2 linked regions of the Macaca fascicularis genome follow. The protein of the gene in region 1 purifies or fractionates together with the protein of each later gene. This does not show direct contact. Links are inferred from orthologs where the notes say so. Each region holds a gene or a part of one and is shown on either strand. Other genes may lie near its edges.

Region 1 (4,993 bases):
TGTGTATTTTTCTTGTTCTTGTCTTTTTCTCAAGCACGTGTACTTATGAGTTTATCAGAGAAACTTTCCTTAGCCCTCCACCTAAGCCAGATGGCCCCTGTTTTCTTTCATTGTACCTTGGGTATGAGTAGTGGGTACAAAACAATAGTGGTGGTGGTAAAGGGAAATAAACAGAATAAATCTCAGGCAATATCGTCAAATATTATCTGTTATTTATATAAATAGCTAGCTTTTATTTTATATCAAAATTATCTTTTTGTAAGGCTGTATCAATTTATATTCCCACCGGCTGTGTTCTTTATATATTTGCTATCCATTGGTCCCCAAATGTTGTTTACTCTCATTACACTGTGGAATATTTAATGCCTTTTTGTTCTGCAAAAACCGTTTTTATTAATTAACATCAAGGATACGGTGCTGACAAATATTCTCTACAATTACAGAATGTTGGAAACTCTGCTGTCTGACATTCTTTCCGTGTGAATGGAACATCCCATTCTTGTCCAGAGCATCTGAGCCAGGCAGGTGACTTTGACACAGGATTTTCAATACAGGTACAAAGTTTTACATAGAGTTTTCAGACCCAACGTTTCACATTTGTCTTAACTTTGAGATTTCCAAGGAAAAAGCCTGCTTCTTACTCAGTCTAATGTTAACCTGATGCTACACACAGCTCTGCTTTGCTTTGTGTCTATCAAACACTGCTCCATTTAATTTTTACCAAAAATTCCCCTCATTCCCATAACCCAATAATGACACTTCTGTTTGATGAGAGGCATTGAGGTTCCTCTGGAGTGCAGTCTCCCTTGCTGCAGCAAGTTAATAAATCTAACTTTGTTGACTACAGGTTTGTTCCTGGTGGTCTTTATGGGAAGACTTTAGCAATCTTAAACTGTAGGCCCCAAATCCCAAAACAACAGGAAACTCTACTCAGTATCTTTTCTTTTCTTCTTCTTCCTTTTTTCTTTTTTTGAGACGGAATCTGGCCCTTGTCCCCCAGGTTGGAGTGCAGTGGCGCGATCTCGGCTCACTGCAACCTCCACCTCCCGGGTTCAAGCGATTCTCCTGCCTCAGCCGCCTAAGTAGCTGGGACTACAGGCGCCCGCCACCACGCCCGGCTCATTTTTGTATTTTTAGTAGAGACGGGGTTTCATCATGTTGGCCAGGCTGGTCTCAACCTCCTGACCTCGTGATCCGCCAGCCTCGGCCTCCCTTAGTGCTGGGATTACAAGCCTGAGCCACTGCGCCCGGCCAGTATCTTTTCTTAAAGATTCCTTTTTACACAAGATGAATTAGACAAGATGGATCATTTTGGCTTTTAGTTTTTCCAACGTTCCAACCTAGTTAGAGCGGCTGTTTTCTGTGCATGGAAAATTCTTTCCCCAGATCTTTGCCTGGCCCTGGCCCAGTTCACACCTAAAGTAGCCATCTGTCCTCACACTGCCGCAACCCGACCCCGTCACTCTACCTCATCTCATTTCATTTTCCTATTTTTCCAATCACTCTCTGAGATTATCTTACTTCATTATCTATTTGTTTATAAATTATCCCAATGAAGATGCAGGATCAGGAGAGAGGATACCACGACAGCGCGGACAGCCGCAGCTGCCCGGTGTCTAGAACTGTGCCCGACGAACACTTGTGGAATGGGTGAGTAGACGAGGAACTAGACACTTCGTTTGCCTTCGTCCCCTTTAAATACCCTCCAAGTGGATCCAGCCGTATTAAAACTCTGAGAAATAGGTGAATGGCATTTGGCCTCGCCATTGGCTGGAACTTTTGCCGTTGCTCCTGGCAACCACTGTTTTCCCACCAGTCGTGTCGTCGCCCTACTTGGCTCCGCCCCTCAGGGCGCCGAGCCTCGACCGGGCGGTAAAAATCGGCCCTTGCCCTTTAAGCGGCGGGACTTCTGGTCACGTCGTCCGCGGCCGCCGGAAGGGGAAGTTTCGCCTAAGAAGGCTGTCTCGCTGGTCCGAATTCGGTGGCGCCACGTCCTCCCGTCTCCGCCTTCTGCATCGCGGCTTCGGCGGCTTCCACCTCGATACCTAACAGTCGCGGAGCCGGCCGCGTCGTGAGGGGGTCGGCACGGGGAGTCGGGCGGTCGTGTGCATCTTGGCTACCTGTGGGTCGAAGATGTCGGACATCGGAGACTGGTTCAGGAGCATCCCGGCGATCACGCGCTATTGGTTCGCCGCCACCGTCGCGGTGCCCTTGGTCGGCAAACTCGGCCTCATCAGCCCGGCATACCTCTTCCTCTGGCCGGAAGCTTTCCTTTATCGGTTTCAGGTACTTACCAGAGACGGGGGGGCGTGGAGACTACAGGCCCCAGGAGGATCCGCGGCGGCGGAGCGTAGGCCGGCATGTTGCGGACGCGCGGTGCCAGCTGGGATTTGTAGTGCGTCCGGAGCCGGCGGTTTAGGGCGGGGTCCTTTGGGCCGGGGGAGGCTGTGGGAGCCGGGTCCTGGATAGCTGGAGTTGTGGGCTTGGCCTGGTGGGGAGGGGTTGACTTAACTAGTTTAGTGAGATTGTGCTTCCCGCTCTTCGCACTCATGAAGGAAGCAGTGAGATTAGTCGGCGGTAGTTGTCAATCTGTTGGACGCTGGCAATTAGGTCCGCCTGGAGCATTGCCCTCTGACCTCCCTCTGGTCACCCACGTGGGTGGCCTGTAGGTGTTAACTTCACCTTCTAGCTGAGTTCCTTTCACGTTAATGGAGTTTTTTTGTTTTGTTTTGTTTTTCCTATAGGAATGATTTAAAGTCAGAGATACAAAGAACGAGTGTATTTTTCTGCATTTCCCTCTAGCCCTAATTTAGTATCCCCCACGTAGTAATAGAATGTACGAAGGAATGGGCAAAGAGTAAATTTGTCCAGAAATAGAAGGCCTTGTTATTTTCTTAAGCATGAAGGAAACGGTCCAGAGTAACATTTGTGTCAAGAGAGTGCTAGTTTTCAGAAGGTTATTTGTATTCACCAATTTCTGATTTAAAACTTTAATCAGCGGCAGGTCAGATAGCAAGATCTGGCATTAATTTCAGCCCTTTGCTTGGCCTGTGGATGACGTTTTCTTGTCTTTCTCTCTCTTCACTGGGTATTATTTCTTGGTTTCCTTTGCTGGTTCCTTATCCTCCTTACTTTTAAATGTTAGGATGTTCCTTAGGAAACAGTTATAGGACTTTCTCTATAGACTCTCCCTAGCTTTAGATGGTCTCATGCATTCAGCCTCAGGGCTTTATGTTCTTTCTGTAAACTGGAGATTCTGAAATGTCAATATAAATATCTTCAGTCCAGATCTGTCTCCCGATTTCCAGATTTGTACATCCAACAGTTACTTGAAATCACGACTTGGATGACTAAGAGTCATCTTCATCTTAACGTGTCCAAAACTGAATCCCCTTTCCCCCTTTGCCTTAGAAGTGAATAGCAACTCCATTATTAGAGGAGCTGAAGTTAATTGTCAGAGTCATCTTTTATTTTTCTTGTTTTTCTCACACCCCGCAATCTGTCAGTAAATCCTGTTGACTCTATTTGAGACATATACCCAGAATACAATCCCTTGTCATTCTCCATTGCAAACCATTATCACTGCAATCTGGTTCCTTTCCGTCTTTTCTCTAGACAGCTAGAGTGATCCTTTTAAAACCTAAATCAAGTGCTGTCATTCCTCTGTCCAGAATCCTACCATGTCTTCTTATTGAGTAAAATCCAAGTTCTTTCAGCGGCCTGCAAGGCCCCTGCTGCCTCTCTGACCTCATCTCCTACTGCTCTCCAAAGTCTACCTTAGGCTCCACAATGAGATCCTTGCTGTTACTTCAGTGCTTATCTGGATCTCTCCTTAGGGCCTTTGCACGTGTTGTTTCTCTGCCTGAGGAAGATAACCGTGGCTCACTTGTTTACCTTCTATCATTCTTCAGGTCTCTGCCCAAATGCCCTCTTATTGACAAGGCCTTCTCTGGTGGCCCTATATAAAATAGCCCCTCCTTCACTTCACTCCCTTATCCTTCATTTTTCTTTTCTTTCTTTTTTTTTTTTTTTTTTTTTTTTTTTTTTTGGAGACGGAGTCTCGCTCTGTTGCCCAGGCTGGAGTGTATATGGTGCAATCTTGGTTCACTGCAACCTCTGCCTCCTGGGTTCAAGCGGTTCTCCTGTCTCAGCCTCCCAAGTAGCTGGAATTACAGGCGCACACCACCATGCCCAGCGTATTTTTGTATTTTAGTAGAGACAGGGTTTCGCCATGTTGGCCAGGCTGGTCTTGAACTCCTGACCTCAGGTGATGCACCCGCCTCAGCCTCCCAAAGTGCTGGGATTAGAGGTGCGAGCCACCGTGCCTGGCCTTATCCTTCATTTTTCTTGCTGCATATTACCCTTTGGTATTTGTCTGCTTCCCCTCAGAGAATAAGGCTCCAAGAGAGCCGGATCTTTGCCTTGTTCACCACTGTCCTTGTTACCTAGAATAGTGCCTGGCACATAGTAGGTGCTTGTATATTAACTGAGTTGTTGGAAGTAATTGTTCACTTGCTGTGTGTGGGCACTGGGGTGCAATAGTAAATAGGACTGAAAAGGTTTCAGATCCTGTGAAGACATAGAGGCACGTGATTTAAGGGGTGTAATATTTGATAGGGTGTTCCACCCCGAAAGGCCTCAGAGAAGACATTTGAAGAAATTGGAATACTGAGGAACCAGCCAGCTTTGAGTGGATCTGGCTCTGGAGACAACCAACCAATTCTGTGACTCAGCCTGGTGCTTATATTTGCCAAGCTTTTGCTTACATAACACATTTAACCTGATGACAGCAACCTTAGGAGACTGACTTAAGAGTGTATTGGGGAAGAGAGACATTTCAACATAGCAGGGAGGAGAATGAACTTGGACTATAGGCTGAGCGTAGAAGTTCTATATCCATCACTAGTAATTCTAGATCCTTTCACTAGTAAGTGAAAGACTCAGAGGTAGGAGCTGGGAACAGGAAGAAGACTGGGTTGCCAGCTGGCACAGG
Region 2 (4,949 bases), on another chromosome or scaffold:
CCAGTGACCCCTGACATGGGGGAGGAAGGACAGCATCAGAAGGGACTTTCCGGGCACACCCAGCACCCAGCTCTGAGCTGTCCTTGAACTGTTGCATTTTAATCCTCACAGCAGCTCAACAAGGTACATACCGTCACCGTCCCCATTTTACAGATGGGGAAATTGAGGCTCAGAGCAGTTAAACAACTCACCTGAGGCCTCACAGCCAGTAAGTGGGTTCCCTGGTCTGAATATGTGTGCTGGAGGATCCTGTGGGTCACTCGCCTGGTAGAGCCCCAAGGTGGAGGCATAAGTGGGACTGGTGAATGACAGAAGGGGCAAAAAATGCACTCATCCATTCATTCTGGAAGTATCCACGGCACGTACGCCAGCTCCCAAGCAAGTTTGCACATTGCACAAAGGGTGATGCAATCTGATTTAGGCTTTTAAAGGGATTGCAATCAAGTGGGGCCCTACTGGCCTCAACCCTGTACCACCCCTCCCTTCCATCCCCAGTAGTCCCCAAAGACCTCCATCAACCCCAGGATGGGGGCCGTATTCCCAAAGAAAATCCAAGCTGTATACGCATCACACTGATTTTCCAGGAGCAGAAACAGAAACAGGCCTGAGGCTGGTCAGAATTGAACCCCCTCCTGCTCTGAGCAGCCTGCGGGGCAGGCTAAGCAGAGGGCTGTGCAGACCCACATAAAGAGTCTACTGTGTGCCAGGCACTTCACCCAAGGCACTTCACAAGCATGCTTGGGAATGAGACTTCCAACTCTCTAGGATGCAGGTGAAACACTTCCTGGTTCAAACAGGTGAAGCGGCCTGCCTGAGACAGCATCACGCTTCTTTACAGATTTGCTCTCCCACCTCTACCCTGTCTCATGGTCCCCCATGCTGGCCTGACGCTTGTGTCTGCCTCAGTCATGCTCCATTTTTCCATCCGGACAATCAAGAGGGTTTTTGTGTCTAAGGCTGACTGGGTAACTTCGGATGAGCGGCCTCTCTGCTCTGAGCCTCAGTTTCCTCATCTGTCAAATGGGCTCTAACCCACTCTGATCTCCCAGGGCGGCATCAGTCTTCAGCATCAGGCATTTCGGGGTGAATTAGTAAATGGTAGATCTTGCTACCAGTGGAACAGCCGCTAAGGATTCTGCAGTGAGAGCAGAGGGCCAGCAAAGTGGTACTCTCCCAGCGACTGGCTGACTCACGCCACCCCCTCCACCTTGGACGCAGGACACTGTGGTTTCTGAGCCAGGTACAATGACTCCTTTTGGTACGTGCAGTGGAGGCTGTATGCTGCTCAGGCAGAGCGTCCGGACAGCGTGGGCGGGCGACTCAGCGCCCAGCCTGTGAACTTAGTCCCTGTTTGCTCCTCCGGTAACTGGGGTGATCTTGGTTAATATTCACCAGCAGCCTCCCCCGTTGCCCCTCTGCACCCACTGCTTAAATACGGACAAGGACAGGGCTCTGTCTCCTCAGCCTCAGGCACCACCACTGACCTGGGACGGTGAATCGTAAGTATGCCTTTCACTGCGAGAGGTTCTGGAGAGGCTTCTGAGTCCCCCACGGCCCAGGCAGGCAGCAGGTCTGGGGCAGGAGGGGGGTTGTGGAGCGGGTATCCGCCCGCTGAGGTGCCGGGCAGATGGAGGGGCTGCAGCTGGGCTCCTATTGTCGTAATAACAGCAGCCATGAGGGTTGTGTCCTGCTTCCCAGTCCTGCCCGGTCCCCACTCAGTACCTACTGGTGGATACACTGGCTTTTGTAAGCAGAAGTGCACGAGGGTGTCTAGCTCCGCGGTCCTGGCACCCCAAGATACAGCAACAGCAAGGAAGCGCAGCCATTTCTTTCTGTTTGTGCAGCTCCTGTGTCTGTCAGGGGGTTCCTATCTGTTGTCTCCTGTAAGCCTCACCACCTCTCCTACTACTTGGACACGCATCTTTTTCCCCTTCTATGGATGAGGAGGTTAAGGTTCAGGGAGGGGTGAGGAGGAACGCCGGCTCACATTCTCCATCCCCTCCAGATACGGCCAGGAACAGACCTGTGCCAGGTCTCAGCCTTACATCAAGGTGGGTCTCCCCCTGCACTGTGGACCTCTGGGCCCTCCTGTCCCAGTGGAGGACAGGAAGCTGTGAGGGGCACCGTCACCCAGGGTTCAAGCTGGCATTCCTGAATAATCGCTCTGTGCCAGGCCACGGCTAAGCTCTGTGCACAATTAAGCCTCATAACCCTCCAAGGCAGTTACCAGGGTGATTCCCATTTTACAGATGAGGAAGTTGGGGACCGAGTGGTTAATAACTGGCCCCAAATCACACACCATCCATAATTTGGGCTCAGGCACCTGGCTCCAGGCCCCGAACTCCTGAGCCTGGCCCTAGTGCTCACCGTTTCTCTCAGGTCTCAGGCGCTGGATGGGGAACAGGAAGCCTGGGCTGGACTTGAGGCCTCTCTGATGCTCGGTGACTTCAGACAGTTGCTCAACCTCTCTGTTCTCTTGGGCAAAACATGATAACCTTTGACCTCTGTCCCCTCCCCTCACCCCACCCGACCTTGATCTCTGGAGTGTTGGAAGAATTTAATTTTTCCTGCACTGAGTTTGGAGACAGGGGTCAAAAAGCTGACCAAGGCCAAGCTGGCCAGTTTCCCATAGAACGCCTCTAAAAGACCTGCAGCACTAGCAGCAAGAACTGGTATTCTTGAGAACTTACTGTGCACCAGGCACTTCTTGGTATTTTGTGCATATTTAATTTCACAATAACTCTATGACAAAGTCCACCTTTCTCATCTCCAGGAAACTGAGGTTCAGAGAGGTTAAGTAACGTGTCCAAGGTCACACAGTTAATAGCAAGTTGATCTGGAGCAATCTGGCCTGAGAGCCTCTAATTCTAGCCACAAACTGAGGCTGCCCCTCTTCATTTAGCCAGGCCACCTCTGAAATCTTCTGGTTCAAGACTTCTGGCTCCAGCTTTGTACACAGAGACTATTAAATGTCAGGTTTTGCAGTCACATCTGTTTAATCCCAGACAAAACATCTGGGATTAAATCTCAGTTTTGTAAGCAAGTAGCTCTGTGATTTTTAGTGAGTTATTTAATCCTCTTTGGGCCTCAATTTTTCTGTCTATAAAATAGGGTTCATCATTTACACCTCATAGGGTAAGCTTTGAGGACAGATTAGATGATACAGTGCCTGTAAATCGCCTGGTGTTAGTAAGTGTGGCAATGATGGTGACACTGAGGTTGATGTTTGCTTAGCATAGGTTAGGCAGCTAGCAGGCAGTAAACAAATACTTGGAGAATTTAATGGAAAATTGGCCAAACTCAGATGCTGTTCACTGCTGAGCAGGAGCCCCCTCCTGCTGAAATGGGTCCTGGGGAGCGCAGCAGCTGGCAGGAAGAAATCTGCCATCTCTCGGGCAGGAGCTCAACCTCTGTGCAGGCACAGGGACGGCTTCCGCACCTGGTGCCCACTCTCGCATTACGTCAGTTATTCCTCATCTCTCTCCAAGGGATTCTTTTCTCCACTGTATAGCTCTGAAGCCAATGCTCACAGAAGTGAAGTCATTTACCCCGGGCCCCCTGCCAGTAAGTGACAGGGCCTGGTCACACTTGGGTTTATTTATTGCCCATTTCAACAGGTCGTTTGACCATAGGCGAGATTCTCTTCCCTGCACCCTGCTGGGTTGCTCTTGGTCCCTTATTTTATGCTCCCGGGTAGAAATGGTGTGAGATTAGGCAGGAAGTGGCTTGCTTCCCTCTCCCTGGCCCTGCAAAGGGTGCTCCCACCTGCCCCAGTTCCAGAAATGTCACCATGAAGTCTTCATTCTTCTGTTTTAAAGCTTGGCCTCAGTGTCCATACACCATGGGGTACTTGACCATCTACTTTCTCCTCTCCAGCCGCCCTCCCAGGCACTAGCTTTTGAGGGTGCAGGGTGCTGCCTCTGATAGAAGGGCCGGGAGAGAGCAGGTTTTGGAGTCCTGATGCTATGAGGAACAGCTTGGGAGGCATAATGAACCCAACACGAAGCTTGAGACCAATGTCAGAGCCCAATTCTGCCATTCATCATCTGAGATTTGAGGGCACAGCTGTCTCAGTCCGTGATCTGAGTGCTGGGAAAGCCAAGACTTGTTCCAGCTTTGTCACCGACTTGCTGTATGGCCTCGACAAGGCCCTGACCCTCTCTGGGCTTCAAACTCTTCACTGTGAAAGGAGGAAACCAGAGGAGGTGATGTGACGCCAGGAAAGATGGATGGGTGTGGGGAATTGTGCTCCTCCCAGCTGTCACCCCCTCTCCACCCTCCCTGCACCAGCCTCGCCACCTCCTTCGAGCCCAGCAGCCTCCTGTCTAGGAGGGTGCCTCTTCTCCATCTGTTTTGCTACATCGAACCCAGATGCCATTCTAACCAAGAATCCTGGCTGGGTGCAGTGACACTCACCTGTAACCCCAGCACTTTGGGAGGCCGAGGCAGGCGGATCAAGAGGTCAGGATTTCAAGACCTGCCTGGCCAACATGGTGAAATCTCGTCTCTACTAAAAATACAAAAATTAGCCAGACGTGGTGGCATGTGCCTGTAATCCCAGCTACTTGGGAAACTGAGGCAGGAGAACTGCTTGAACCCGGGAGGCAGAGGTTTCAGTGAGCCAAGATCACACCACTGCACTCTAGCCTGGGGGATAAAGCGAGACTCTGTCTCAAAAAAAAAAAAAAAATCCTATGTTAGCATACAGAGGTCCCCAGTGAGGTCTTCTCCCAGCCCCACTTTGCACAACTGGGGAGAGTGAGGCCCCAGGACCAGGGGATGCTTACTCAAGGCCAAATGGATAGTGGTGGCCCTGCCAGGACTAAAGCCACAACTTCTGGCCCTAAGGCCACTCAGCGTATTTAGTGTCCCCACCCTGCAGAGGCCCAACTCCCTCCTGACCTCTGAGCCCTGTAATGATGGGGGAATTTCCATAAACCGTGAAGGAC

Evidence for each region.
Region 2: the proteins of DERL1 (region 1) and SERPINA1 purify together in Homo sapiens (affinity purification with western blotting; 4 studies listed by BioGRID). This does not show direct contact. The link is inferred for Macaca fascicularis from reciprocal best matches to the Homo sapiens genes DERL1 and SERPINA1.

Annotation. Positions count from the first base shown.
Region 1 is NC_088382.1:132,692,671-132,697,663, reverse strand, and holds the start of DERL1 (derlin-1), read left to right. Parts: upstream 1-1,934; 5' UTR 1,935-2,133; coding exon 2,134-2,286; intron 2,287-4,993. UniProt on the Homo sapiens protein: Functional component of endoplasmic reticulum-associated degradation (ERAD) for misfolded lumenal proteins. Forms homotetramers which encircle a large channel traversing the endoplasmic reticulum (ER) membrane.
Region 2 is NC_088381.1:162,413,896-162,418,844, reverse strand, and holds the start of SERPINA1 (alpha-1-antitrypsin), read left to right. Parts: upstream 1-1,456; 5' UTR 1,457-1,499; intron 1,500-1,844; 5' UTR 1,845-1,935; coding exon 1,936-2,051; intron 2,052-4,949.